Linked DNA regions of Anolis sagrei. The main gene of each other region encodes a partner of the protein of the gene in region 3 in a complex. Links are inferred from orthologs where the notes say so. Each region holds a gene or a part of one and is shown on either strand. Other genes may lie near its edges. The genes, in order: CHCHD3, MICOS13 and APOOL.

Region 1 (10,664 bases), on a different chromosome or scaffold from region 3:
TGGTCATGGGAGTTCTGTGTGCCAAATTTGGTTCAATTCCATCATTGGTGCAGTTCGGAATGCTCTTTGATTGTAGGCAAACTATAAATCCCAGGAACTACAATTCCCAAATGTCAAGGTCTATTTTCCCCAAAGTTCACCAGTGTTCGCAGTTGGACCTATTGAGTATCCGTGCCAAGTTTGGACCAGATCCATCACTGTTCGAGTCCACTGTGTTCTCTGCATGTAGGTAAACTACAACTCCAAAACTCAAGGTCAATGCCCATCAAACCCTTCCAGTATTTTCTTTTGGTCATGGGAGTTCTGTGTGCCAAATTTGGTTCAATTCCATCATTGGTGGAGTTTGGAATGCTTTTTGATTGAAGGCGAACTATAAATCCCAGCTTTTTGATTGAAGGCGAACTATAAATACCACTCCTAAATGTCAAGGTCTATTTCCCCCAAACTCCACCAGTGTTCACATTTGGGCATATTGAGTATTCGTGCCAAGTTTGGTCCAGATCCATCATTGTTTGAGTCCACAGTGCTCTCTGTATGTCGGTAAACTACAACTCCAAAACCAAAGGACACTGCCCACCAAGCTCTTCCAGTATTTTCTGTGGTCATGTAGAAATAACGCAGTTTTGCACCACTTTAACTACCATTACTGAAAGCTAATAAGTCCTGAAGCTTTTAGTCTTCTCTGATAAAGAGTGCCTCACCAAGATCCCATCACATTGAGCCATGGTATTATAGAGCGGTATCAAACCTCTTTAATTCTACAGTGTAGATGAAGCCTGAGAGCTGCTCCAGCCAGTGGTAAAGAAGGATCAGCCAATGAGAGAGCTGATGAACACTAGCCAATCATACATGGGCAGGCATGACATCATTTGCCTTTGTGACCTCACCAGGCCCATGTGATGTCATAATGTATGAGATAAGGTTGAAAGTATCTGCTAGTAGATGATGGACTGCATTTCTGAAACTGGATGGCACACAGAGACAACCCGCTATTCAATAGCTAAAAGAATACAAGGGAGAGGACCTTCGCTGAACCTCTTTCGATGGAGATAGCACCATCTTTTACCTTTAGATGGAAGGTAAAACCATTCCTCTTTACCTGGATCTATGCTAACCATATAATGCAGTTTGAAACTGCATTGTATGGTCAGCGTAGAACTATATATAGCAGGCGGGTAATAAGAAATAATTTATTATTATTATTATTATTATTATTATCATCATAAAGATAATATAATGTAATATCATTGTGATGATATTGTGTTGCCAGAAGAGTGTCTGGTTTGGCTTGCAGTCCGTACAGGCCATCCTTATCACGTATTTGCCAAAGCTTATAGATAGATAGTTATAGATAGGTAGTTCATAGATAATATATATTTGCCCTATAGATAGAGAGTTCATAGATAACACGTTTCATAGAATAGTTATATTGGCATAGAATAGATAGAATTTGCCAAAGCTTATAGATAGATAGTTATAGATAGGTAGTTCATAGATAATATATATTTGCCCTATAGATAGAGAGTTCATAGATAACACGTTTCATAGAATAGTTATATTTGCCATAGAATAGATAGTATTTGCCAAAGCTTATAGATAGATAGTTATAGATAGATAGTTCATAGATAATATATATTTGCCCTATAGATAGACAGTTCATAGATAACATGTTTCATAGAATAGTTATATTTGCCATAGAATAGATAGTATTTGCCAAAGCTTATAGATAGATAGTTATAGATAGGTAGTTCATAGATAATATATATTTGCCCTATAGATAGAGAGTTCATAGATAACACGTTTCATAGAATAGTTATATTTGCCATAGAGTAGATAGAATTTGCCAAAGCTTATAGATAGATAGTTATAGATAGGTAGTTCATAGATAATATATATTTGCCCTATAGATAGAGAGTTCATAGATAACACGTTTCATAGAATAGTTATATTTCCCATAGAATAGATAGTATTTGCCAAAGCTTATAGATAGATAGTTATAGATAGTTCATAGATAATATATATTTGCCCTATAGATAGACAGTTCATAGATAACACGTTTCATAGAATAGTTATATTTGCCATAGAATAGATAGTATTTGCCAAAGCTTATAGATAGATAGTTATAGATAGGTAGTTCATAGATAATATATATTTGCCCTATAGATAGAGAGTTCATAGATAACACGTTTCATAGAATAGTTATATTGGCATAGAATAGATAGAATTTGCCAAAGCTTATAGATAGATAGTTATAGATAGGTAGTTCATAGATAATATATATTTGCCCTATAGATAGAGAGTTCATAGATAACACGTTTCATAGAATAGTTATATTGGCATAGAATAGATAGAATTTGCCAAAGCTTATAGATAGATAGTTATAGATAGGTAGTTCATAGATAATATATATTTGCCCTATAGATAGAGAGTTCATAGATAACACGTTTCATAGAATAGTTATATTTCCCATAGAATAGATAGTATTTGCCAAAGCTTATAGATAGATAGTTATAGATAGATAGTTCATAGATAATATATATTTGCCCTATAGATAGACAGTTCATAGATAACACGTTTCATAGAATAGTTATATTTGCCATAGAATAGATAGTATTTGCCAAAGCTTATAGATAGATAGTTATAGATAGGTAGTTCATAGATAATATATATTTGCCCTATAGATAGAGAGTTCATAGATAACACGTTTCATAGAATAGTTATATTTCCCATAGAATAGATAGAATTTGCCAAAGCTTATAGATAGATAGTTATAGATAGTTCATAGATAATATATATTTGCCCTATAGATAGAGAGTTCATAGATAACACGTTTCATAGAATAGTTATATTTCCCATAGAATAGATAGAATTTGCCAAAGCTTATAGATAGATAGTTATAGATAGTTCATAGATAATATATATTTGCCCTATAGATAGAGAGTTCATAGATAACACGTTTCATAGAATAGTTATATTTGCCATAGAATAGATAGTATTTGCCAAAGCTTATAGATAGATAGTTATAGATAGGTAGTTCATAGATAATATATATTTGCCCTATAGATAGAGAGTTCATAGATAACACGTTTCATAGAATAGTTATATTTGCCATAGAATAGATAGAATTTGCCAAACATTATAGATAGATAGTAATAGATAGGTAGTTCATAGATAATATATATTTGCCCTATAGATAGAGAGTTCATAGATAACACGTTTCATAGAATAGTTATATTGGCATAGAATAGATAGTATTTGCCAAAGCTTATAGATAGATAGTTATAGATAGGTAGTTCATAGATAATATATATTTGCCCTATAGATAGAGAGTTCATAGATAACACGTTTCATAGAATAGTTATATTTGCCATAGAATAGATAGAATTTGCCAAAGCTTATAGATAGATAGTTATAGATAGGTAGTTCATAGATAATATATATTTGCCCTATAGATAGAGAGTTCATAGATAACACGTTTCATAGAATAGTTATATTTGCCATAGAATAGATAGTATTTGCCAAAGCTTATAGATAGATAGTTATAGATAGATAGATCATAGATAATATATATTTGCCCTATAGATAGAGAGTTCATAGATAACACATTTCATAGAATAGTTATATTTGCCATAGAATAGATAGTATTTGCCAAAGCTTATAGATAGATAGTTATAGATAGATAGATCATAGATAATATATATTTGCCTTAGAGTATTTGTAATAAAGAATAGATAATATTTGCCAAAGTTTATAGATTTTAGAGTAGTTATATTTACCTCATAGAATAGTTATAGTCATACATTCCCCATAGCTTATAGTTATAGAAATTATAGTAGTTGTTACATCAGAGTTTATATTTCACTAATCAAACTGTACTTTTATACCTTGATTATTTAGTAAACAATTGTTGAACTTAATCTTGTTTGTAGAGTTTTATTTTGGGGGAATTATAGTAATTTAGGGCATACCGATGGTCACTGGGAAAATAGCCAGACACATTTAGTTTCTCCTTAGATCTTCCTGGTGTGCCATCATAATCATGAATAATAATAATAATATATCATCATGTAAAATAGTATATTGTTATTAATAATAATATGTCATTATTAGTAATAATAATATGTTATTATTATATTGTTGATTTTTTTTGTCGTGTCAGGAGCGACTTGAGAAACTGCAAGTCGCTTCTGGTGTGAGAGAATTGGCCGTCTGTAAGGATGTTGCCCAGGGGATGATTTGATGTTGTTAATAATAATATTATATTATTGATAACATTATTAATAATACACTAATAATAATAAAAATAATAATTATTAATAATATATCATTTTTATTATTAATATAGTATTATTAATATATTGTTGTAGCCCGGAGTGGAAATAATCTATCGGACAGATGGCAAGCTATTCAACCTCAGCAGACTGAAAGCCAAAACCAAGGTTACAACAACAGCTGTTATAGAACTCCAGTATGCTGACGACAATGTCGTCTGTGCGCATTCAGAAGATCTACAAGCCACTCTAAACACCTTCGCAGAAGCATATGAGAAGCTCGGCCTGTCACTGAACATTGAGAAAACCAAGGTGCTGTTCCAGCAGTCACCAGCCCATCCCTCTCCAATGCCAGTAATACAGCTTAATAGCGTAAAATTAGAAAATGTGGACCATTTCCGCTACCTTGGCAGCCACCTCTCCACCAAAGTCAACATCGACGCTGAAATACAACACCGCCTGAGCTCTGCAAGTGCAGCATTTTCCAGAATGAAGCAGAGAGTGTTTGAGGACCGGGACATCCGTAGGGAGACCAAGGTGCTTGTTTATAAAGCTATTGTCCTCCCAACCCTGCTCTATGCCTGTGAGACGTGGACTGTCTACAGACGTCACATGCAGCTCCTGGAACGTTTCCACCAGCGCTGCCTCCGGAAAATCCTGCAAATCTCCTGGGAAGACAAGCGGACAAACGTCAGTGTGCTGGAAGAAGCAAAGACCACCAGCACTGAAGCGATGGTCCTCCAACATCAACTCCGCTGGGCCGGCCACGTTGTCCGGATGCCTGACCACCGTCTCCCAAAGCAGTTGCTCTACTCTGAACTCAAGAACGGAAAATGGAATGTTGGTGGACAGGAAAAGAGATTTAAAGATGGCCTCAAAGCCAACCTTAAAAACTCTGGCATAGACACTGAGAACTGGGAAGCCCTGGCCCTTGAGCGCTCCAGCTGGAGGACAGCTGTGACCAGCAGTGCTGCAGAATTTGAGGAGGCACGAGTGGAGGGTGAAAGAGAGAAACGTGCCAGGAGGAAAGCGCGTCAAGCCAACCCCGACCAGGACCGCCTTCCACCTGGAAACCAATGCCCCCACTGCGGAAGAAGATGTAGAGCAAGAATAGGGCTCCACAGCCACATACGGACCCACAAGGAAATCCATAATGGAAGACCATCTTACTTGTCCAACGAGGGATCGCCTAAGTAAGTAAGTAAGTAAAGTAAGCCCGAAAAACCTCAGCCCTATTGTTATATTATCATTGGTATTATTATTATTAATATATATATATATATATATATATATATATGGTATTATTATTAATAATTAATTATTATTATTACCAATGATAATATAACAATAGGCCTGTTTTGCACCAATTGGGCCAAGGATATACAATTCTGGGATTTATAGTTCCTTGTGGCAGAGAAGGATTAGATATTTCACAATTCCCAAAAGTCTCAAAACTTTGTAATAATGTGCAATGACACTTCAAGTAAGGCTAAATGCTTCATTATGGCCCCAGAATGCTAACACTGCTCTATTAACTACATTTCCCAGCGTGCATTGCGACAAGCGGCGGGCATTTGTAACCAATTCTTGCCGCGTTGCACGCTGGGAGAGGCAGTTCCCATGCTCTTTGAGAGAGAAGAGGGAAAGAGAAAAAGTTTCCACGCCGCCTGTCACTTGGTCAGGCCGGGGCAGGGCCCGTTGCTCAGGGCAACCGTTCTCCCCACCAATCGGAGAGCGGCGGAGGCGGGACGTAAGAGGGGGATGGCCAATGGGCGACGGGTGTGGGCGTGGCGTCTTATAGGGCACCTCCAGGGAGGCTTTTGCGGCCTAGTCTGGTGGTGAGCGAGCCTGGAGCGGGATGGGCGGCGGAGGCAGCGCCCCAAGGAGGGTCACCTTCGAGGCGGACGAGAACGAGAACATCACGGTGGTCAAGGGCGTCCGGGTGAGAGGGAAGACGGGTTGGCTGGACTTAAGCTGAGTGAGCTAGGCCTCAGAGGAGGAAGAGGAGAGGAAAAAGAGTAGGCCCCTGTTGACCTCAGAGGGGTCAAGCATGGAGAACAGGCAGGGTCCAACTTGGGCCTTCCCTCCAGGTGTTTTGGACTTTAACTCCCACAGTTCCTAACAACCTATGCTGAAAGAGTACTTTGGCTGCAGTGTGAGGCCAAGATTTTCGTTTAGAGAGGTCTGTGTATCTTCTGATTGAGCACACACCACATTATCATCAGCATATTGGAGTTCTATAACAGATGTTGTTGTGACCTTGGTTTTGGTTTTTGGGCAGCTGAGGTTAAAGAGCTTGCCACCTGTCCAATAAGCGCATTGCAGAAGTCCAACCTTGAGGTTACCACTATCTTTGGGTCTTCCAAATCTAGGAAGGGACGCAGCTATCGCGTATCAGCCATTGCATCTGCCTGGCCTGATATTTGGAGGGATATCCAGGAGTGCTCCCAAACTTCAAACAGTCGAAATATGTCAGGGAAAGTCATAAGGCGGAGGGAGCAAGCTTGTTTTCTGCTGCCCTGTAGAATCATAGAATCATAGAATCAAGGAGTTGAAAGAAACCTCATGGGCCATCCAGTCCAACCCCATTCTGCCAAGAAGCAGGAACATTGCATTCAAATCACCCCTGACAGATGGCCATCCAGCCCCTGTTTAAAAGCTTCCAAAGAAGGAGCCTCCACCATCCTCCGGGGCAGAGAGTTCCACTGCTGAACGGCTCTCACAGTCAGGAAGTTCTTCCTCATGTTCAGATGGAATCTCCTCTCTTGTAGTTTGAAGCTATTGTTCCACTGCGTCCTAGTCTCCAGGGAAGCAGAAAACAAGCTTGCTCCCTCCTCCCTGTGGCTTCTTCTCACATATTTATACATGGCTATCATATCTCCTCTCAGCCTTCTCTTCTTCAGGCTAAACATGCCCAGCTCCTTAAGCCGCTCCTCATAGGGCTTGTTCTCCAGACCCTTGATCATTTTAGTCGCCCTCCTCTGGACACATTTTTTGCATTAAAACAAACAAACAAACAAAACACAAAATTTGCAGACTTGGTATACTATTAAATGTCTTTTGACCAATTGCTGGCCACTTGGGGTGCCTCTGGTGTTGCTGCAAGAAGGTCCTCCATTGTGCATGTCGCAGGGCTCAGGTCGCATTGCAGCAGGTGGTCAGTGGTTTGCTCTTCTCCACACTCGCATGTCGTGGACTCCACTTTCTGGCCCCATTTCTTATGGTTGGCTCTGCATCTCGCCATGCCAGAGCGCACTCTGTTCAGCGCCTTCCAAGTCGCCCACTCTTCTGTGTGGCCAGAAGGGAGTCTCTCATTTGATATCGGCCATGGTTTGAGGTTCCAGGTTTTAGCCTGCCACTTTTGGACTTGCTTGCTGAGGTTTTCCTGCGAATATCTCTGTAGATCAGTGGTTGTCAACCTGGGGGTCGGGACCCCAGAGGGGGTCGCAAGAGGGTGTCAGAGGGGTCGCCAAAGACCATCAGAAAACACAGTATTTTCTGTTGGTCATGGGGGTTCTGCATGGGAAGTTTGGGCCAATTCTATCATTGGTGGGGTTCAGAATGCTCTTTGACTGTAGGCGAACTATAAATCCCAGCAACTACAACTCCCAACTGTCAATGTCTATTTTCCCCAAATGCCACCAGTGTTCACATTTGGGCATATTGAGTATCCTTGCCAAGTTTGGTCCAGTTCCATCATTGTTTGAGTCCCCAGTGCTCTCTGGATGCAAGTGAACTACAACTCCAAAACTCAAGGTCAATGCCCATCAAACCTTTCCAGTATTTTCTGTTGATCATGAGAGTTCTGTGTGCCAAGTTTGGTTCAAGTTTGGTGGAATTCAGAATGCTCTTTGATTGTAGGTGAACTAGGAATGAAAGTAACTGCAACTCCCAAATGACATAATCAATCCCTTGCCGAATCCCAGTAGTATTCAAATTTGGGTATTTTGGGTATTTGTGCCAAATTTGGTCCAGTGAATGAAAATACATCTTGCATTTTGGATATTTACATTACAGTTCATAACATTAGCAAAATTACAGTTATGAAGCAGCAATGAAAGTAATGTTATGGTTGGGGGTTGCCACAACATGAGGAAGTGTATTAAGGGGTCGCGGCATTAGGAAGGTTGAGAAACACTGCTGTAGATCTTAGAAAACTATTTCTTGATTTAGGGCATTGGTGTGCTGGCTGGTATCTCAACAGGGAGTGGGCCAAAGATGTCACTGCCTTGGTCCTTTAACTATTTGTTTCTACTCCCCGGGGGATGTCAGGTGGTGCAATACCGGCTAAACAGTGTAATTTCTCCAGTGGTGTAGGGCGCAGACACCCCGTGATAATGCGGCATGTCTCATTAAGAGCCACATCCACTGTTTTAGCGTGGTGTTACCATGATTTTCAGGTCCTCCAAATCTTGGAAGGTACACAGCTAGTGTATCATCCATCACATCTGTCTGCTTGTAGAGATGGATCCAGGAGTATTCCCAGACTACAAACATAGTCTTTCAGAGGGAGTGAAACCCTATCCAGAACTGGTTGATGATGTTGTTGTTCATTCGTTCAGTCGTCTCCGACTCTTCGTGACCTCATGGACCAGCCCACGCCAGAGCTCCCTGTCGGCCATCACCACCCCCAGCTCCTTCAAGGTCAGTCCAGTCACTTCAAGGATGCCATCCATCCATCTTGCCCTTGGGCGTTCCCCTTTCCTTTTGCCTTCCACTTTCCCCAGCATAATTGTCTTCTCTAGGCTTTGCTGTCTCCTCATGATGTGGCCAAAGTACTTCAACTTTGTCTCTAGTATCCTTCCCTCCAATGAGCCGTCGGGCTTTATTTCCTGGAGGATGGACTGGTTGGATCTTCTCGCAGTCCAAGGCGCTCTCAGGACTTTCCTCCTGGTTGATACACCCAGATTGGTTGATACACCCAGATTAAGGCCCTTAATGGCAAGCACCTCTGTTTTGTCTGGATTCAGTCTCGATTTAGTTTTTCTCATCCAGGCCCATTACCTCTTCCAGGCATTCATTCAGGGGAGACACGCTATCCTTCACTGAGAATGTTTTGAAATATATTTGAGTGTCATTCACATACTAATAACACCCCACCCCATGCCTATGGAATATCTTTCCCAGCGGTTTCATATAAATCATAGAACCATAGAATAATAGAGTTGGAAGAGACCACATAGGCCATCTAGTCCAACCCCTTGCCATGCAGGAAAAGTACAATCAAAGTTAAAAAAAACTTTGAGGATAGAATGTTAAGAGTGGTCTATAAATGCAACTAATATATATGGAGGTTCCAGAAGCATTCTCTCTTGACGTTTCACCTGCATCCATGGCAGGCATCCTCAGAGGATGTGAGGTCTGTTGGAAACTAGGAAAATTGGGTTTATATATCTGTGGAATGTCCAGGGTGGGAGAAAGAACTCTTGTCTGTTTGAGGTAGGTGAAACGTCAAGAGGGAATGCTTCTGGAACATGGCCATAGAGCCTGGAAATCTCACAACACCCCAATGTTCAGAGGATTTGCTAGTTACAGTATTAGTTATTTATTTCACTGTATTACTAGACATATTTAAAGCTTCAACTAGGTCCATCACAAGCTAAAAATTAATTGCTGCTCTCAGTTTAACCTGTCTCTGTGTTATATGCCTTTGTGGAGACTCTGCTGCAGGAGGCTCATGTTGTGAATTGTCAACGGCTTTTGTGTTGTGTTCCTCAGATATACTTTCTAGGCATATTTGGTAGAGCTTTATACTGTTATCCTTTGGGTATCAATTAAAAACTTGTTGATTGTCCATTCTGTTGAAGGCCTTGGGTCCCCTGTAGTTCATTTCTTTCCTACTATCTGTTCGACCAGCTTTTACTTTTTAGGTTTTCCTGTAATGAATGTTCTCCTTGGAGGAAGTTTTGGTGGAAGGACATAATATGATTTTTTTTTCACTGAGTTATAAGTATTTTTGTGGTCCGATGTGTGAATTTTGAAAATCTGTTGTTAGAAACACCATGCTAGTAAAGTAATGCTACTTTGCCATGTTCTCACCTGCTGCATCATTCTTCCTCGCCTTGACCTCATGGGCACTTTTCTTTTTCTTTTGCCTTGACCCCTCCTGCCCATTTCTTCAAGATACTTCTAAAGGGCTTTTTAGTGTCAACCCTGTAGTTTCTGAAGCTTATGGGAAAGCTCTTACCAGGAACACTTCAAAAGAAAAAATGAAAGACAAATGATGAAACGGAGAAATATTGGGGTGGCACTTGCAGAAGGGTTTGTTCCTTCTGTCTTTTTGATGTTCTCTCACTTCACCTGGCACCTGCTTTCTGTCTTTCTTTGTCATATATTCTTTGATTTCACCTCCCCTCTTTGTTCCTTTACCTGTAAACCTGCATTCTTCTGTTT
Region 2 (10,161 bases), on a different chromosome or scaffold from region 3:
AAGTTAGAAAGTCTGCCTATGCCTGATCTAAGGTATAATATAATATATCTGTCAGTGTATTATTATTACATAATAATAATAAGTTCAATGTATTATCATGATTTAAGGTATAAATAATATTTATAAGCCAGTATGTATTATTGTTACATAACAATATAATAAATTTCATATATTATAATCTGGTATTATAATGTATTATTATTAAGTAATAATAATAATAATAATAATAATAATAATAAGTATTACTTTCATCATCTAAGGTATTATCCATAATATATCTGTCAGTGTATTATTTCATAATTATAAGAAATATTGTGTATTATCAGAATCATCTAAGGTATTATAATATAATATTAAAGGCCCCTGGTGGTGCAGCAGGTTAAGCTGCTGAACTTGTTGGCGGTTTGAATCCAGGGAGCTGGGTGAGCTCCCCTCTTAGGCCAGCTTCTGCCAACCTAGCAGTTCGAAAACATGTGAGTAGATGAATAGCTACCGCTCCGGCAGGAAGATCAATAGCGGCGGGAAGGTAACAACACTCCATGCAGTCATGCTGGCCACATGACCTTGGAGGTGTTTATGGACAACACCAGCTCTTTGGCTTAGAAATGGAGATGAGCACCACCTCCCAGAGTCGGACACAACTAGTCTTAATGTAAGGGAAAACGTTACCTTTTTTAACAATATGTATTATTATCATCATCTATACAGTAGTACTAACATATTAAATATAATACTACCTATAATATATAATAATATAGAATGATACTATTTTATTATTGTATATTTGCATATTTGAAGTTGTAATGTATTAATTGTGAGCTGTTTGAGTCTCCGTATGGAGAGATAAATAAATAAATAAGAAAATATTGTTAAGTATTACTATATATTATGATATGGCATATATTATATTATTATATTATAGGATAAATATATTATTACATTATAGTATTATTATAGTAGAGTATTATATATTAGGATATTATCTCTTCCAACTCTCTATCCATCCATCCAATGGGGTTGGACTAGATGGTCCTTGGGGGTCTCTTCCAATTCTAGGATTCTCTCTCTCTCTCTCTCTCTATATATATATATCTATTTATTTATCTATCTATCTAATGGGGTGGACTAGATGGCTCTTGGGGTCTCTTCTTACTCTAGGATTCTATCTATCTATCTATCTATCTATCTATCTATCTATCTATCTATCTATCTGAGGGAGCTGGACCGGATGGCCCTTGGTGGTTCCTTCTGACTCTAGGACCATTTGCCTGAAACTCACTTCGTTTTGCTGATGGCCGACTCGGTGTCGATGAGGCCCAGGAAGCAGAGTGTGATGCTGATCTCTTTCTGCTGCATGACCAGTTCGTGGCGCAAGGAGCCAAAGAAGCCCTCCAGGGCAAACTTGGTGGCCGAGTAAGGAGCCACGAAGGGGGTGGACACTCTTCCTGAGAGGGAAAAAATACTAAATACTGCATCAAAGTGGAGGAGGTTATTCTTTGTGCTTTGCTTAGAAGAATAACCTAGTGAAGCGATTAAGGAAGGATGAGAGAAGGGGACAGGAGAGCCATGTCTCCATCTTTGAAGGAAGGAAGGAAGGAAGGAAGGAAGGAAGGAAGGAAGTCCCATGGAGGAGGACGGGACAAGCCTTGTTTCCTTGCATTGGCTAATTGGTGGCCGGTCTCTGGGAGCAGTAGTTTCCCAAGGGCACTCACTCACCTGTCAGGGAAGAGACCACCACTAGTGAACCCTTGCTCTCTGCCAAGGGAGGGAGAGCCACCGAGGCGAGGGCCACATAGCTGAAGAAGTTCACCTGGAAGGGAGAGGAATATTAATATTAATAATAATATTAGTAATAATAATAATTGTAATAATAATTCTGTTGGGTGGATTTGGATTGTGCCTTCCAGAAGGGGGATGGACTGGATGGCCTTTGGAGGGCCCTCCCAAATCCCAGCCGCACCTGCATGAGCCAACGCAGATGGTCCATGTCTCCAGCCCACATCTCAAAAGGGCTCGATCCGTCATGGTTGAGGACCACAAAATCCAGGCCCCCTAAAAAAAGAAGGATGGGAAAGAAAAGCAGATTTGTCATTGGCAGAAAGCGATGAAAAAACAGGTCCAACTTGTTATCCCAATTCATCCATACAGTGTGAACCTAAGGGTTAGTTAGAATCGCGTAGAAGTACTGCACTTTGACATCACTTGGGAGTTGTAGTTTTGGGGTTTGAGGACCCACCGAGTTCCTCCAAGGCAAAATGGACCAGCTTTTCTGGCTCTGCGGAAGAAGCCATATCTGCGACGAAGTAGACGGCCTTCTTGGCTCCCAGCTCCAGGCATTTGGCCATCACCTGGACAAAAGCAAAAGGAACAACCACCATTTATGGACTTCTTCAACCGGGAGAAATCCAGCCATGTGCGATAGGGATGGTTCCTAGTACAATTGGTTCGCTGTACCATCCATGGCTTGAAAGTATTTCTGAAAAACCCCAAAATTCAACCTTAGTTTTGCCATTTTATGCGTATTGTTCACCACTGCATATAATGGGAGTTGAGCATCCATGGATTTGGGGATCCACGAGGGTCCTAATACCCAATGCAAACAGATATTGGTATCCATGGGGGTCCTGGAATTGGATCCAATCAGGTATTGGTATCCATAGGGGCCCTAGGACCTAACCCAACCAGAGACTGGTATTTATGGGGGTCCTGGAATCAGACCCAATCAGGTATTGGTATCCATAGGAACCCTAGAACACAACCCAACCAGATATTGGTATTCCTGGGAACCCTAGAACCCAATCCAACCGGATATCAATAGCCACAGGGACCTAGAACCCAACTCAAATAGACTTTGGTATCTATTGGAGCTCTAGAACCCAACCCAACTGTCACACAGCAGGGCTGGAAAGGCGCCTTTAAACCAATCTCACACCCCAGAGCTCAGTTATAAGCAAAGCAGTTTCTTAAGGTATAAATGTAGCTTCAGCAAAAATGATAAGAAGTCAATACAAAATATAATCCATGTAACACAAGGCACTTAGGAAGACTTGGAAGCAATAATCCACGAGACCAGAATGTAAGCAAGATCTTTAAACTGGACTCTTGAAAGAACACAGCAACCGAGAAGATCAAAAGTACATGGCAGCTATACCCAAGATCCAAAAATACATGAATCCATGAAACCACTTGATTCTTGAAGCAATACAGGAAACCAGGAAAACACTTGATTCTTAGAACATGAGTCCATGAACCCCATCCATGAGAGGAACGAGAGAGAGGAACTTAGAGCATGTTAATTCTATCCAAACGTTGATTCCTCTAAAGGCCTTAGAACTAAGCCAACCAGACATAGGTATCCACTGGGTTCCTAGAACCCAACACGAACATTAATATCTAAGGCGGTCCTAGGACCAAACCTAACTAAACATAGGTATTCTTGGGAGTCCTCAAACCAGACGCAATCCGGTACTGGAATCCATGGGGGCCTTAGAACCAGATATTGGTATGCATGGAGGCTCTAGAACTCAACCCAAGCTCTATCTTTCCCCAATCCCAGACTTTGAATCTGGATGTGTTCTCACTTTCTGCAGCATGGCCTCCCTCCGGGCGGTGAGGACAATTTGTGCCCCGAACCGGGCGTAATGGTAGGCCATTTGTTCCCCGATCCCATCGCTGGCGCCAGTCAAGAGAACCCGGGCCCCGGAAAGGCTGTCTGGGAGAGAAAAAGAAATACGGCCAAAGGGGAAAGTAGAGTACCGTATACACTTGAGTATAAGCCAAGATTTTCAGCCCTTTTTTAGCCTGAAAATGCCCCCCATCGGCTTATACTCAAGTGGTCCTGGTGGGAAGTCATGGGATTGAAATATGCCCTTGTTTCAGCCCCACGACTTCCCGCCAAGATCCTCACCTCTTCACCCAGCAGGGTTGATACTTGTTTATATACGGTATTTTGCCTGCCAACAAGTGTCGGCCTTCATTGAGTCTTAGAGTTGGCAGGGAAACCCATGGGCTGTGCCAGGCAGGCGGGGTACACAATCCGAACCCTCCCAACAGATGGCCACCCGTTCCTCTGCAGCTCCTACCTGGCTCGAAGGTGTCTCTCCAGGAGAAGGCCACCCAAACAGCTGCGATGCCAAGGACCGAGAGCAGAAGCCCAGCGGCCCTCATCTCCCTTCTCTCCAAGTGTCACCACAAATAGATATTCAAGCCTGAAAATGATGGCAAGGGTCAGAAACGGATCAGGGGATACAAAGGGCGGGTGCCTCCCACGCCCTGCAGGCCAACGGGTGTGTTTTGAGGAGAGAGAGAGTCGCTGAACTGGGACTCAGCTCCATGGAAGACTGCCAAAAGGAGCCCCTTCCGCACTGATTGTATAATGTAGCTTGGAACTGCGTTACATGGATTGCGTAGACTCATAGAATGCAGTCTAACTGTATGATAGGAGTCAACATTGACCATACAATGCATTGAGCTGCATTATAGGACTTTACACTGACAATAGAATATACTGAACTACATTATAGGAATCTACACTGGCCATATAATGCATTGAACTGCATTACTGGACTCTACGCTGATAGTAGAATGCACTGAACTACATTATAAGAATCTACTCTCATGCAGTCTAACTATGCATTATAGGGTCTACACTTACCATATAATGTATTGAACTATGTAACAGGAGACTACACTCACCACAGAATATACTGAACTGCATTATAGGACTCTACACTGACCATAGAATGTATTGAACTGTACTATAGGACTTTACATTGAACATAGAATGCATTAAGCCAGTGCTTCTCAACCTGTGGGTCCCCAGGTGTTTTGGCCTACAACTCCCAGAAATCCCAGCCAGTTTGCTAGCTGTTAGGATTTCTGGGAGTTGAAGGCCCAAACATCTGGGGACCCACAGGTTGAGAACCACTGCTTAAGCTATATTTTGGGACTCTACGCTGACCATAGAATGCATTGAGCTGCAATATAGGGTCTACACTTTGCACAGAATGCACTGAACTGTACAAGAGAGAGTACACCCACTATATAATGCATCGAACTGCATGATAGGCGTCTATATTGCATTATTTGGCAGTGTAGATTCGCCCTCAAGGCCTCAGGAAACACTTAACAGAAAACCCAAAACGCAGAAACCTGTCTATATAAGATCAACATGAACGAGTTAATCATAACGCCATATTTCTACTTTATGGTATAAAGAATTTTAAATACTTTAAAATTCAATAGCTGCACCGAAATTCTGGATTCTCCTCCTTGTTTACAAAAAGTTTAACAGAAGACTGAAAACGATGTTATCCCAGGAAGACTGGCACGACCTTAAACGTGGCACGACCTTAAGGAAGTAGGGAACAGAGTGGACAGAGTGGGGGAAAACATGATTCCGCTCGCGCATGCGCACGGCAACCTCCCTGCTCATGCGCACAACGGGCCCATTGGTTACCGTTAGAACAAGAAACATAATAAAAAGCCTTCATGTTTTGAGGGAATGTTGCCTCGCCCTACACTCATTCAGTTTCATTCAATTCACATTAAGTTCAATTTCCTATAGTTGGTGAAAAAGAAAGAAAAAGCCCCCGCCCTCCCTCTCAGGAACAATGGCGGCCTCCATTTCTCTCAACCGCGGCAGTTCCCGAAAAGTCTCGCGAGAGTAGGTCAGCCAATGGGCTTTTGCTGCAGGGGGGAAAAACCGGTGCGGGCGGGCGCTTTGCTGCCCTTGGGCCGGCGAAGGCGTTGCTGTCATGGCGTCTCGCTTCGTCCCTGTGATCAAGTGAGTCGGGAGGGCGGTTTTCTAGATTCATAATCAGGAAAGAAGGGCTCAATGCAATGGGATCTTGGCATCAGTAGTCTGGCAGGCCTTGCAAAACTACAGCACCCAAGCTTTAATGGCAAGAGGGTTGCACTAGATGGCCCTTCCAACTGTAATGCTCTGCGTTTGAAATATTGCAATCCCAAATCTCTTTGAAATAGTGGAATCCAATTCTCTTTTGGGAAACTGTTACCATTATTGCAATCTAAGGCCTCTTCTGTACTGCCATACAATCCAGATTATCAAATCCGATAATCCACATCATCTACTTTGAACTGGATTATATGAGTCTACACTGCCTGATAATCCGGTTCAAAGCAGGTAATCTGGATTTTGTATGGCAGTGTAGAAAGGGCCGAAGTCTTTGCTTTGAACTGTTTTGAAGGTTGTATTCCAAGTATCTTATTTTAGAATGCTAATAATATAATATAACATATTGTACATACATATTATATTGTATTGTCCAAGGCTTTCATGGCTGGAATCACTAGGTTCTTGTAGGTTTTTTCGGGCTATAGGGCCATGTTCTAGAGGCATTTCTCCTGACGTTTCGCCTGCATCTATGGCAAGCATCTTCAGAGGTAGTGAGGTCTGTTGGAATTAGGACAATGGGTTTATATATCTGTGGAATGGCTGGGGTGGGGCAAAGAGCTCTCTGCTGAAGCTAGGTGTGAATGTTTCAGCTGACCACCTTCATTAGCATTTGAAGGCCTGGCTGAGCCTGGGAAAATGTTCTGTTGAGAGGTATTAAGATGTGCCTGGTTGTTTCCTCTCTGCTGTTTTGCTGTTGCAATTTTGGAGTTTTTTTAATACTGGTAGCCAGATTTTGTTCATTTTCATGGTCTCCTCCTTTTTGTTGAAATTGTCCACATGCTTGTGGATTTCAATGGCTTCTCAGTGTAGTCTGACATGGTGGTTGAATCTGAAAATGAACAAAATCTGGCTACCAGTATTAAAAACTCTTTAAAAACTCATTTAAAACAGCTGGAATGTGTCCAGAGGAGGGCGACTAAAATGATCAAGGGTCTGGAGAGCAAGCCCTATGAGAAGCGGCTTAAAGAGCTGGGCATGGTTAGCCTGAAGAAGAGAAGGCTGAGAGGAGACATGATAGCCATGTATAAATATGTGAGAGGAAGTCATAGGGAGCAAGCTTGTTTTCTGCTTCCTTGGAGACTAGGACGCGGAACAATGGCTTCAAACTACAAGAAAGGAGATTCCATCTGAACATGAGAAAGAACTTCCTGACTGTGAAAGCTGTTCAGCAGTGGAACTCTCTGCCTTGGAGTGTAGTAGAGGCTCCTTCTTTGGAAGCTTTTAAACAGAGGCTGGATGGCCATCTCTCAGGGGTGCTTTGAATACAATATTCCTTCTTCTTGGCAGGGGGCTGGACTGGACTGGATGGCCCACGAGGTCTTTTCCAACTCTATGATTTTATGACATAAACACAGACTGGGCCACAGCAACCCATGGCAGGGGACAGCTAGTATTATAATATAATGTAATACAATATAGTACTAATGATAAAACAGTAGAATAATTGTATATTATATATTATATGTAATATTACTAATAATATTGCAGGGGCAGAAGTCTCTTTGTTTTGAACTGTTTTGAAGGTTGTATTCCAAGTATCGTATTTTGGAATGCTCATGAGATATGTATATATATCTATATAAATAAAAATGTAATGTTCGTTCATAATCCAAATTATCTATTTAATAATAATATTTTTTCTATACTATACCTTTGGGCCTTTCCAGACAGGCCCTTTATCCCATGATCTGATCCCAGGTTTTTGGTTTATATGAGTCTGCACTGCCAGCTAATCTCGGATAAACAGAAAACCTGGGATCAGATTCTGGGATACAGTTTTTAACTGTAGGCACTTAGGACTCTTCCGCACAGCCATATAACCTAGGATATCAAGTCAGAAAATCCCACAATATCTGCTTTGAACTGGGTTGTCTGAGCCCAGTTCTATATATTCCAGTTCAAAGCAGATAATATGGGATTTTATTTAGCTGTGTGGAAGGGACCTCAGTTAACTCTCAAGCAACAGGCAACAATGGAAAATAATATTTTAAAGAAAACATTAAAATACATGTAGAATGTTTTTGTCTTAGTTAATGTGTTATTACTAATTCATGTATACTGCATTTCAATAGGAATATCAAGTCAATACTATACAGAGTTTATCAATTGCATATTTATTTATTTACTACAATTGATCCCCCACCCTTCTCAAACCGAAGGGGACTCTGGGCGGCCTTACAACAGGTAGCAATTCAATGCCATACACATAAACAAAGACAATTAAAATCCAAGCAGTTTAAAATATGAATTAAAATCACACCATCCAAATCATAATCCAAGGCCGTTCCATTTATCTGTCACATTAATTCGTGGTCACTTATGCACTGCTCCCATTGCTGGTCAAAGGTTTGGTTCCAAAGCCATGTGTAAGTTTTTTTCATTAAGGTCAGGAGGGAGGGGGCTGACCTGATTCTATTGGGGAGTTCCATAGCCGAGGGGCCACCACTGAGCAGGCCCTGTCTCTCATCCCCACCAGTTGCGCCTGAGATGGAGGTGGGACCGAGAGCAGGGCCTCCCTGGAACATTTTAGCCTCTGTGATGGTTCATAGAGGGAGATAAATGTGGATAGGTAAGCTGGGCCAGAACTGTTAGGGCTTTATAGGCCAAAGCCAGCACTTTGAATTGTGCTCGGTAGCGAACTGGCAGCTAGTGGAGCTGACGCAGCAGCGGGGTTGTATGCTCCCTGTACCCTGCTCTGGTGAGAAATCTGGCTGCCACCCGTTGGACCACTTGAACCTTCCAAACAGTCTTCAAAGGCAACCCCACATAGAGCATGTCGCAGTAGTCTATTTAGGAAGTAACAAGAGCATGGACTACCATGGCCAAGTCCGACTTCCTAGGGTACATGTGCAGTCGGCGCACAAGTTTTAATTGTACGAATGCTCCCCTGGCCACCACCGAGACCTGGTGTTCCAGGCTCAGCAATGAGTCCAGGATCACTCCCAAGATGAAAACCTGCGTAGTGAAATCAGTATTGATATTGAAATGCTGAGTCTACTTTCTTTTTCTGTTCCTTTACAATCTATGCTTTGTTTGTATCTATGCAGGTTCCTGCTCAAAGGAGGCTTAGCGGGAGGCTCCATCTATGTGGTCTATAGCCAAGGGCTCCTTGGTGGAGGGGAGGAAGGGGCCCAGGCCCTCCACAAGGCCAAAGAGGCCCTCCCACCGGCCCTGGAGGAGTGGGCCAAGTATTTTGGCTGGCAGGTGAGCCCCTTGGGATGGGGGCCTTGGCTGGGGCAAAGGGGAGAACTGAGGTCTCATTCGTCACACCACCCCCACCTCCCTCAGGATGGCAAAGAAAAGGCTTTATGAAGGAACAGAGTATCTGCAGCTTAGGAGAAACATGCATCAGGCAGATATTTTTTCTTTTAATATTTATGTGTTGGGTAATTCCATGCTTACGTTGCTGTTAGTTTTTTTTTTTTCCATGTTGTGACTCTGTATGTTTTGATGTTGTTGCTTGGAAACTGCCCTGAGTCCCCCCGGGGAGATAGAGTGGTATATAAATAAAAGTTTTATTATTATAATATTTATAGACAGCTGTAGAGTTGGAAGACTGTAGGACCCTAGAGTTGGAAGACATAGAGAATGAAAGTTGAAAGATGGAGGGTTTTTTTTGTCATGTTAGGAGCGACTTGAGAAACAGCAAGTCGCTTTTGGTGTGAGAGAATTAGCCGTCTGCAAGGACGTTGCCCAGGGGACGCCCGGATGTTTTTTGATGTTTTACCATCCTTGTGGGAGGCTTCTCTCATGTCCCTGCAATGGGGAGCTGGAGCTGATAGAGGGAGCTCATCCATGCTCTCCCTGGATTCGAACCTGTGCCACTGGGGGCGCCGTATAGATATAGAGTTAGAAGAGATAGATTTTAAAATCCTAGAGTTGGAAGATCATAGAATCCTAGTTGGAAGAGATAGATATATGGAAGACCACAGAATCCTAGTTGGAAGAGATAGGTAGATGGAAGATCCAAGAATCCTAGAGTTGGAAGAGATAGATAGAAGATCAAAGACAGACAGATAGGTGGAAGATCAAAGAATCCTAGACTTGGAAGAGTTAGACCCAACTCAAGCTCTCCCAACAGATGGACATTTTCCCTGTGCTTGAAAGCCTCCCGTATTTGCCTACAGATCTCCCTTGGGCTGTCTGAGATGCATTAATTTCTTTTTGGAACCCTTTTCCTAGCTTGTGTTTGTGTTCTCTTTTTACCCAGTTCCCAGCCATCCCCAAGACCGACTTTTCCCTCT
Region 3 (9,958 bases):
TGGAAGAACACAGATAATAATAATAATAATAATAATAATAATAATAATAAATTTATTACCTTCTTCCCTGGCATATATTTAGAGACCTTTTCCTTGCAATTTCAAGGATGAATGCAAAAATGGAGGTGCTTTGCATATGCTCAGGAACCCTCTCGTCTCCACAACCATTCACACTCCAATGGCCAGTGTAGGGCAGGTTTTCCTTATTCTAACTACTCCAAAATGGTCCCTATCAGTGGCTGAAACGGTGTTATCTTTGCTTCCTATATTAAAGTACTGTATTACAAATATTGCGTACAACACACAAAAGTATTTCATATATTGTGTATAAAAATACAAAGTGTAGGTGGAACATAAAGGGATTACTGTTTGGAATCGCATCTGTAAGATATATGTGTGTGTGTTTGTGTATAAAACCACATTCTATTGCTACTATATGTCAATTCTGTATTGATGTTTGGTATAATATTGCTACTATATGTATATGTATATAATATTGCTACTATATGTCAATTCTGTATCTGTTTTTGGCACAAATAGGTGTGTGTATATGTGTGTATACACATACACATAATATTGCTACTATGTCAATCCTGTATCTGTTTTCGGTACAAATGTGTGTGTGTATATATATATATATATAGAGAGAGAGAGAGAGCTATTATATATGTATCTGTATCTGGTTTTGATACAAGTGTATGTGTGTGTGTATATATATATATATATTAGGCCTGTCGGTTTCGTTTCGTTAATTCGTTATTTCGTATTAAAATCGTTATTTTTTGCATATCCGAAGCGATATCAAAACATATTTTTAAACCCGGAAGGGTTTAAAAATATCGAAGCAGCAGCCCCATGTATTTTACGAGCTGAAGCTCCGCTCGTTAATGGCATGGAGGCTGCTGCTGAGCGCGCCATCCGGCTCTGGCTCCTCCTCTTCCTCCGGAGCCCATTGGATAGCGCGCGCGCGCTCACAAGCGGCCTCCGCGCGCCATCCGGCTCTGGCTCCTGCGCCCCCCTCCTCCTCCTCCTCCTCCTCCTCTTCCTCCCAGCTGGGAGGAAGAGGAGGAGGAGGAGGAGGGGGGGGGGCGCAGGAGCCGGAGCCCATTGGATGGCGCGCGCGGGCTCACAAGCGGCCTCCGCGCGCCATCCGGCTCTGGCTCCTGCGCCCCCCTCCTCCTCCTCCTCCTCCTCCTCCTCCTCTTCCTCCCAGCTGGGAGGAAGAGGAGGAGGAGGAGGAGGAGGGGGGGGCGCAGGAGCCGGAGCCCATTGGATGGCGCGCGCGGGCTCACAAGCGGCCTCCGCGCGCCATCCGGCTCTGGCTCCTCCTCTTCCTCCGGAGCCCATTGGATGGCGCGCGCGCGCGCTCACAAGCGGCCTCCGCGCGCCATCCGGCTTGTGTGACTTTTCAGGGCTGTATGACCATGTTCCAGAAGCATTCTCTCCTGACATTTTGCCCACATCTATGGCAGGCATCCTCAGAGGTCTGTTGGAAACTAGGCAAATGGTGAGTTATATATCATCTAATATATCTATGGAATGTCCAGGGTGGGAGAAAGCCATTCAATGCTAATCAAGGTGACCATTACTGCAACATTCACACTTAGCCTGTTTGATCAAGAAAAATTTTTTTTCTAAAATGTTTTGTAAATAATAACGAAAATTCGTAAATAACAAAACATTTTTTTGGAAAGTTTTGTAAATATTTTAAATATCGAAACAAAAAAACACCCCAATTAAGAATCGAATTTAGAAACAAATTTTTTCTTGATCAAACAGGCCTAATATATATACATACACTTGTAGCTTATAGTAACTATATACACACACACTTGTAGCATATAGTGACATATAGTAGCAATATATATAATATTGCTACTATATGTCAATTCTGTATCTGTTTTTGGTACAAGTGTGTGCATATATATGTGTGTGTGTGTGTGTATATATATACACACACACACACACAATTCTGTATCTGGTTTTGATACAAACATATGTGTGTGTGTATATATATATATACACACATACATACATGTAGCATATAGTAGCAACGCACACACATACACAAACCTGTATATATAATATTGCTACTATATGTCAATTCTGTATGTTTTTGGTAGAAGTGTGTGTGTGCATATATGTGTCTGTATATTTATTTATTTATTTATTTATTTATTATTTACTTTGCTTATATACCGCTGTTCTCAGCCAAGGGGCAACTCACAGCGGTGTATATATATACACGCACAATTCTGCATCTGGTTTTGATACAAGTATGTGTATCTGTATATATATATATACACACACACAATTCTGCATCTGGTTTTGATACAAGTTTGTGTGTGTGTATACATACATGCATGTAGCATATAGGAGCAACACACACACACTTGTAGTATATATAATATTGCTACTATATGTCAATTCTGTATCTGTTTTTGGTAGAAGTGTGTGTATATATGTGTGGGTGTATATATATATATATATACACACACACAATTCTGTATCTGGTTGTGATAAAAATATGTGTGTGTGTGTATATATACACACATACATACATGTAGCATATAGTAGTAACACACACACATACACAAACCTGTATATATAATATTGCTATTATATGTCAATTCTATATGTTTTTGGTAGAAGTGTGTGTGTGCATATATATGTGTGTCTGTATATATATACACACACAATTCTGCATCTAGTTTTGATACAAATATGTGTGACACACATACATACATGTAGCATATAGTAGCAACACACATACACAAACCTGTATATATAATATTGCTACTATATGTCAATTCTATATGTTTTTGGTAGAAGTGTGTGTGTGCATATATGTGCGTCTGTATATATATACACACACACAATTCTGCATCTGGTTTTGATACAAGTATGTGTATTTGTATATATATATATATCCACACACACAATTCTGCATCTGGTTTTGATACAAGTATGTGTATGTGTATATATACATACACACACACAATTCTGCATCTGGTTTTGATACAAGTTTGTGTGTGTGTATATATATATGTATATATACACACATACATGCATGTAGCATATAGCAGCAACACACACACTTGTAGTATATATAATATTGCTACTATATGTCAATTCTGTATGTTTTTGGTACATGTGTGCATGTGTGTGTTTGTGTGTGTATATATACACACACGTAGCATATTGTAGAAACACACACTTGTAGTATATTGAATATTGCTACTGTGTCAATTCTGTACCTGTTTTGGGTAGAAGTATGAGTGTGTGTATAGCTACTCTATGTCAATTCTGTATTTGTGTTTGGTGTGTGTTTGTGTGTGTGTATGTATATATATACACACACATAGCATATTGTAGAAACACACACTTGTAGTACAGTATATTGAATATTGCTACTGTGTCAATTCTGTACCTGTTTTGGGTAGAAGTATGAGTGTGTGTATTGCTACTCTATGTCAATTCTGTATTTGTGTTTGGTGTGTGTGTATGCATCTATGTGTTTTTATCTATATCATGTATTGTATTTTAAAATGTTCTTATGTTTTGTTTTTGGTACATGTGTGCATGTGTGTGTTTGTGTGTGTATATATACACACATGTAGCATATTGTAGAAACACACACTTGTAGTATATTGAATATTGCTACTATGTCCATTCTGTATCTGTTTGGGGTAGAAGTATGAGTGTGTGTATTGCTACTCTATGTCAATTCTGTATTTGGTGTGTGTGTGTATGCATCTATGTTTATGTTTTTAATCTATGTAATGTATTGTATTTAAAAATCTTCTTATGTTTGTGTTTTTGTTGTACCCTGCCTCGAGCCATCAGGAGAGGCAGGTAATAAATAAATTGTATTATTATTATTAGAAAGAATTGCAAAACAGGCCTGGTTCAAAGTATTTCGGGCAAAAGGGAGACTGAAACTAAAAGTCAAACTGGGAGTGCGGGGCCAAGTTGTGTTTGTCCTACAGTGTAGATCAGGCCTGGGCAAACTTGGCCCCTCCAGGTGTTTTGGACTTCAACTCCCACAATTCCTGACAGCCTCAAGCCCGTTCCAAAGGAACGGGCTTGAGGCTGTCAGGAATTGTGGGAGTTGAAGTCCAAAACACCTGGAGTGGCCAAGTTTGCCCGTACCTGGTGTAAAAGCACCCAGTCTCCTTTCCCACTCTGCACATGCTCACGACACTCTTTCCCTTTGCCTCATTGAGGCTTCAGAAACACTGAGAGGCCTTACAATCAGCACAGCCACTCACCTTGGCCGCCATCTTGGCCCTGCAGGCGACGTCACCGTCAGGAGGCGGTGCTTCAAAAAGACAGCCAACCAGGATTGGCGGAGACAAGAGTTCCAGGCGCCCAAGTCCCGCCCACACGCGAGGGACAGCCGCCGATTGGGAATGGCGCTGGCCCAATCAGGTAAGAGATGTCACCCCCAGGAGGCAGAGCTATCTCTTCCTTCTGCCCCTCCCCTCCCTGGATGCTCTTTCCTCTTCTCTTTCTGTTTCTCCCTTTCCTTCTTTTGCTCTCTCTCCTACATTTCGCCTTTCCTTTGTTTTCCTTCCTTTCTTCCACTTTACTCTTCCCTTTTCCACTTTCTTTCCTTCCCTCTTTTTTCTTTCTTTCCTCTCCCCTTCCTCTTTTCTCCCTTCCTTCCTTCCCCTTCTTTTTTCCCCTTCCTCCCTTGCTTCCTCCCTCCCTCCCTTCTTTCCTTCCTTCCTTCTTTCCTTCCGTTTTCCTTCCTTTCTTCCTTCCTTTTTCCTCCCTCCCTCTCTCCCACCCTTCCTTCCTTCCTTTTTTCCTTCCTTCCTTCCTTCCTTTTTCCTTCCTCCCTCCCTCCCAACCTCCCTCCCTTCCTTCTTTCCTTCCTTTTTCCTTCCTCCCTCCCTCCCTTTTTCCTCCCTCCCTTCCTTTTTTCCTCCCTCCCTCCCTCCCTTCCTTCTTCCTTTTTTCCTTCCTTCCTCCCTCCCTCCCTTCCTTTTTTCCTTCCTTCTTTCCTTCTTTCCTTCCTTCCTTCCTTCCTTTTTTCCTCCCTCCCTCCCTCCCTCCCACCCTTCCTTCCTACCTTTTTCCTCCCTCCCTCCCTTCCTTTTTCCTTCCTTCCTTCCTTCCTTTTTTCTTCCTCCTTCCCTCCCTCCCTTTCTTTTTTCCTCCCTCCCTCCCTTCCTTCTTTCCTTCCTTCCTTCTTTCCTCCCTCCCTCCCTTTCCTTTTTCCTTCCTTCCTTCCTCCCTCCTTCCCACCCTTCCTCCCTCCCTTTCCTTTTTCCTTCCTTCCTTCCTTTCTTCCTTCCATCCTTCCTCCCTCCCAGAGAAAAGCCAGAAAAAAGCACTCCAGTTGGAGATCAGCTCTGACCAGCAGTGCTGTAGAATTTGAAGATGCACGAATGGAGGGCAAAAAGAGAGAAACGTGCCAAGAGGAAGGCGCGTCAAGCTGACCCCAACCAAGACCGCCTTCTACCCGGAAACCGATGCCCTCACTGTGGGAGAAGATGCAGATCAAGAATAGGGCTCCACAGTCACCTACGGACCCACCGCCAGGACACTGATCTTGGAAGACTGTCCTACTCAGACAATGAGGGATCGCCTAAGTCCTTCCATATATATAATATATATAAAAATTTCACGTAGCAACTACTTCTTTCCCTTTCTTTCCCAGTGACATCCAAGAGGGCCACTTCACCTAGCAGCAGCTCGATCCGCTTCTTTCCTTTCCTTTGGCTTGAAATGCCGCACAACTTTCCTTCAGACCTCTCCCTCTTCTCTTTTAAGAAATAGCTGAAGACTTTATGCTCTCGGGCATATAGAGAGGAGGACGTGTAACATATATAAACACCTGGTACAATAAAAATGGAACGGAATATGGAAATGGCTTTCTTCTGGCTTTTTAAAATGTTACGTTTTAATTGCTACTAGCCTCTAATTTTTAAGTGTTGTCCTACATTCTTATTTGTTGAAGATGTAGTTTTAGCAATGTGATGTCTAATTTGGTGTATTATGGCACTATTATGTTCTTGTTCAGTACGTTTTATTTGATTTGGTGGCACTTTACGAGATTGAATGGTTACCGTTGTTTTTTGTGAACCACCCACAGTTCCCAAGGGGAGATAAGGTGAGATATAAATAAACATCTATTATTATTATTATTATTATTATTATTATTATTATTTTACATTGTTTCAAGCTGGTTAATATAGATTTTATAGAAATACATTTTAATATGTATCTTTTGTATGAATACAGTTTATATAATTTGTGTTTTTACAATATTTATGTGTTTTAATTATTCTGTAACCCACCTCGAGGAGAGACGGGCAAGAAATATGATGATAATAATAAGTAGTAGTAGTAATAAATCTATCTGTGATCATGTACACAATTCATCAAAACGAAATCTATCGAAGAAACGGATATGGAAAAGATCGTGTTTTTACCAAATCCGTAACCTGTAAATGTATCAGATTTGTAAATATTGACCAATGTTTAAAGATCCGACACTATGAAATAAGGAATGGATTTTAGATACGACTTTTAAATTTGTTTTATTATTATCGTGTAATTTACTGTTGTGTTCATGTGATTTGCTTTATTGTTGAATGCTTTGTTATGTTTATTTTGAATGGTTTCAGTCTATTGTTGTATTTTACGGCATTGAATGTTTTCCTTTTATGTTGTGAATGGTCCTGAGTCCCCATGGGGTGAGATAGAAATAAAGTTTTACTTTTGTTTATTTACAGTATTTATATCCCGCCCCTCTCACCCCAACATAAATTTAAAAGCCATTAGAACCATGCAATCTGAGATCATAGTCTAAAAGCTGTTCCAGTTGTTATTGCATATTGTCCAGTTGTTATTCCAGTTGTTATTGCATCACTTATTTCACTGCACTACTGACCAAAGGTTTGGTCCCACAGCCATGTTTTTACATGTTTTCTGAAGGACAGGAGGAAGGGAGCTGACCTGATTTTGCTGGGGAGGGCGTTCCATAGCTGAGGGGCCACCACTGAGAAGGCGTTGTCTCTCATCCCCATCAACAGCACCTGTGAAGGAGGTAGGACCGAGAGTAGGGCCTCCCCAGAAAATGTTAATCTCTGAAGTAGTTCATAGAGGGAGATATATTCAGACAAATAAACTGGGCCAGAACCATATAGGGCAGTGGTTCCCAACCTTTTTTTTAAATCAGGGACCACTTAGATCAGGGACTACTTGACCAGGGACCACTCTCCAACAGTACCAAAAGGGTTACGAATCGGTTTTTGGTCAACTTTAGTTTTGGTTGGTTATTTAGGGGGCTGATTCAGAAAATTGCATTGGATAGACCACATCAGCTCTAGTCTCTGATACAGAACACATTGCTATGGTCAGTGACAAGGAAGGAGTGGCAGGAGGCGCGAAAGGAGCGGAAATAAACTAAAATGAATAAATAAATAAAAAGGAAGGAAGGAAGGAGGAGGCTCATGGACCAGATTTTCGTCTTTGTAGCCCACTGGCTGTACATGGCCCACTGGTTAAAAACTGCTGGTATTGGGCTAAAGCCTGAACGTGAGGAAGAACTTCCTAACCGTGAGAGCTGTTCAGCCATGGAAATCTCTGCCGCAGAGTGTGGTGGAGGCTCCTTCTTTGAATTGTGTTTGGTAGCCAGTTGGCAGTCAGTGGAGCTGGCATAATGGGGGTTGTATGCTTCTGCCAACCTAACAGTTCGAAAACATGCAAATGTGAGTAGATCAATATATACCGCTCCGGTGGGAAGTCATGCCGGCCACATGACCTTGGAGGTGTCTATGGGCAACACCGGCTCTTCGGCTTAGAAATGGAGATGAGCACCACACCCCTTTACCTATGAACACCACACCCCTTTACCTTTACCTATGCACCCTGTACGCTGCTCCACTCTTTTTTACTTACTTACAATGTATTTTAGGGATCTGCCAAATCTGGAAGCACCGTTTGGACACATTAAACTGAAAAATCATTGTGAATTATTAATAAAGTATCAATATTTTCTTGAAGCCCAGAAAGTACAAAGGAAGACAAGAAGTTCCTAAAGTGCAGAGAATTCTTTTTATTGAAGTCCAAATCAACAACTGAAGTTTTACAACGTTTTTTTCCCCCCTCCCCAAAACAAAAGCTACTTTTGGATTTAGGAAGAATAAATGTCCTTTTTTCAATAATGTACAGTCTATATATTTTTTTAAATAAGTTAATATCTTTGAAAAAAGAGCAATATGTTCCTTTTATAATGTTGCAGTGCAACTTACAACTTACACGTCTGTGCAATGTACCATGAGGTATATGCCCAGTGAGCAACACACAGTGAAAGTTTTCCTCCATTCATCGATTCTCATTGTAGACACGCAAAATGAAAAACTATAATCAACAAGTTATTCCGTGATAGAAAACAAATGCAGCCAAGTACAGTAATTCACAGAGAACTGAGTTTTGTTTTAAAAAAAGGGAAAGGAAAGGAAAATCAACATTCATCGCCTTATATCAACCAGTGGATCACTTCTCAAGGTAGGACTTTGGTGAAACTGGAAAGAAAGGGACACAAATGAACCTGTTGTTATTATCCAGGGATCGAAATTGAGCTTTACCTGCCCAAGGTGGCCATCCTGTACTCTGGTCATTGAGAACAAGCTCAATTGTAATCAATGGGAGTGACTTTTGAGTCAAAATGTGCAGGATAGTGCCGTAAATCCATTTTCTTCCTCTCTATCTTTCTTGCGATGGGATGGAGAATGGTGCCAGCCCAAGATGAGGATAAGGGGGAAATCTCCCCATGGAAGAAAAATATAAAGGGTGTATTCTTAAGCTTTCAAACCACAGGGCAAGCCATAGTCTGTGATGCAATCGAGCAAATTCCTCCCTGGTTTTATGAGTTTATATCACATTTTGGTTTTCTTGCACAGCTACATAGGTAAACACACACACAACCGGTTTCATTCTTCAAGCTTCAGGACGGGTGCGGGAACTCCCTCGGATACATTTCTCCCCATTTATAGAAAATATTTCTTGGTGACAGAAAGACTTTTAGAAAGAAGGACGCACAACATAAAAAGTGTGATAAATAACAGTTCTGCCTCTAATATATATATATTTATATATACATATTATCATGTAAACAAAAATGCTCCAAAGACATAGGTTCTCTCTCTCTTTTTAAATACAAAGGCGCTCAAAATTTTGTTGTCATTTGGGGAAAAAAAAACAGTCCAAGTGAAAGTTTGGTTTAGAACCTCCTATTGCTACAGAAGTTGTCAGAATGATTGTTTATTTACAAAAGAAAGTCCACGGAGGGACCCCATAGTCAACAACAACAGTAAGCTGACCTTAGGCTTGAGTGGACTTTTCTCTCCAAAGTACACACATATCTGACCTTTTCGTAACAAGGGACTAATGATAGCTTTTGCAGAGAGCTGAAGGTGCTTGGGAAAAGAAAAGAAAAACATTATTATCTTTCAAGTGCAGTCTCCAATGACTACATTCAGCAAACCTTCCAAACAAAGGTCTGGGAAGAACGAGAGCAAGAGACCTGTAGGGACATATCCATCTCCTTTCTCCTCTTCCTTCTTTGGCTCTCGAACAGGACATTTCCCCTCTTGCTTTGCGGTTGATTTTTGAACCGGCACCTTATGGCTTGAGCATTTCCTCCAATCCAGGATTGCGAGAAGGAATCGATCAAACCATTGTTTGTTAACTTGGAATTTGTTGCAAACTAGTTTCCCGTATATACTCAATGTATAGGTCAGCCTCGAGGGCTGGTTTGGGGAACAAAATTATGCATTCTGATAATTACCAATGGATAAATCGAGGGTCATCATGCAGAGATTGTAAAGCACCAATGCTTTCCCATCTAAACATTCAAAAAGAGCAGAAAAGACCATGGCTTGTTTTAGTTTTTCTGAGTATGAACTCAGCTCTTCCCTTTTGCCATTTTACTCAAAAGAAG

What was found.
Region 1: APOOL (region 3) and CHCHD3 share a complex: the UniProt entries of both Homo sapiens proteins name them as parts of the mitochondrial contact site and cristae organizing system (MICOS) complex. The link is inferred for Anolis sagrei from reciprocal best matches to the Homo sapiens genes APOOL and CHCHD3.
Region 2: APOOL (region 3) and MICOS13 share a complex: the UniProt entries of both Homo sapiens proteins name them as parts of the mitochondrial contact site and cristae organizing system (MICOS) complex. The link is inferred for Anolis sagrei from reciprocal best matches to the Homo sapiens genes APOOL and MICOS13.

The regions. Positions count from the first base shown.
Region 1 is NC_090025.1:192,695,261-192,705,924, reverse strand, and holds the start of CHCHD3 (MICOS complex subunit MIC19), read left to right. Parts: upstream 1-6,050; 5' UTR 6,051-6,129; coding exon 6,130-6,213; intron 6,214-10,664. UniProt on the Homo sapiens protein: Component of the MICOS complex, a large protein complex of the mitochondrial inner membrane that plays crucial roles in the maintenance of crista junctions, inner membrane architecture, and formation of contact sites to the outer membrane.
Region 2 is NC_090034.1:54,659,160-54,669,320, forward strand, and holds the start of MICOS13 (MICOS complex subunit MIC13), read left to right. Parts: upstream 1-5,680; 5' UTR 5,681-5,756; coding exon 5,757-5,785; intron 5,786-8,964; coding exon 8,965-9,121; intron 9,122-10,127; coding exon 10,128-10,161. Other genes in the region: hydroxysteroid 11-beta-dehydrogenase 1-like protein, read right to left, coding at 1,280-1,445, 1,717-1,810, 1,961-2,052, 2,237-2,348, 3,582-3,712, 4,083-4,167. UniProt on the Homo sapiens protein: Component of the MICOS complex, a large protein complex of the mitochondrial inner membrane that plays crucial roles in the maintenance of crista junctions, inner membrane architecture, and formation of contact sites to the outer membrane.
Region 3 is NC_090030.1:13,729,860-13,739,817, reverse strand, and holds the start of APOOL (MICOS complex subunit MIC27), read right to left. Parts: upstream 4,338-9,958; 5' UTR 4,284-4,337; coding exon of another isoform or gene 4,272-4,283; intron 188-4,271; exon of another isoform or gene 75-187; coding exon of another isoform or gene 60-74; intron 1-59. UniProt on the Homo sapiens protein: Component of the MICOS complex, a large protein complex of the mitochondrial inner membrane that plays crucial roles in the maintenance of crista junctions, inner membrane architecture, and formation of contact sites to the outer membrane.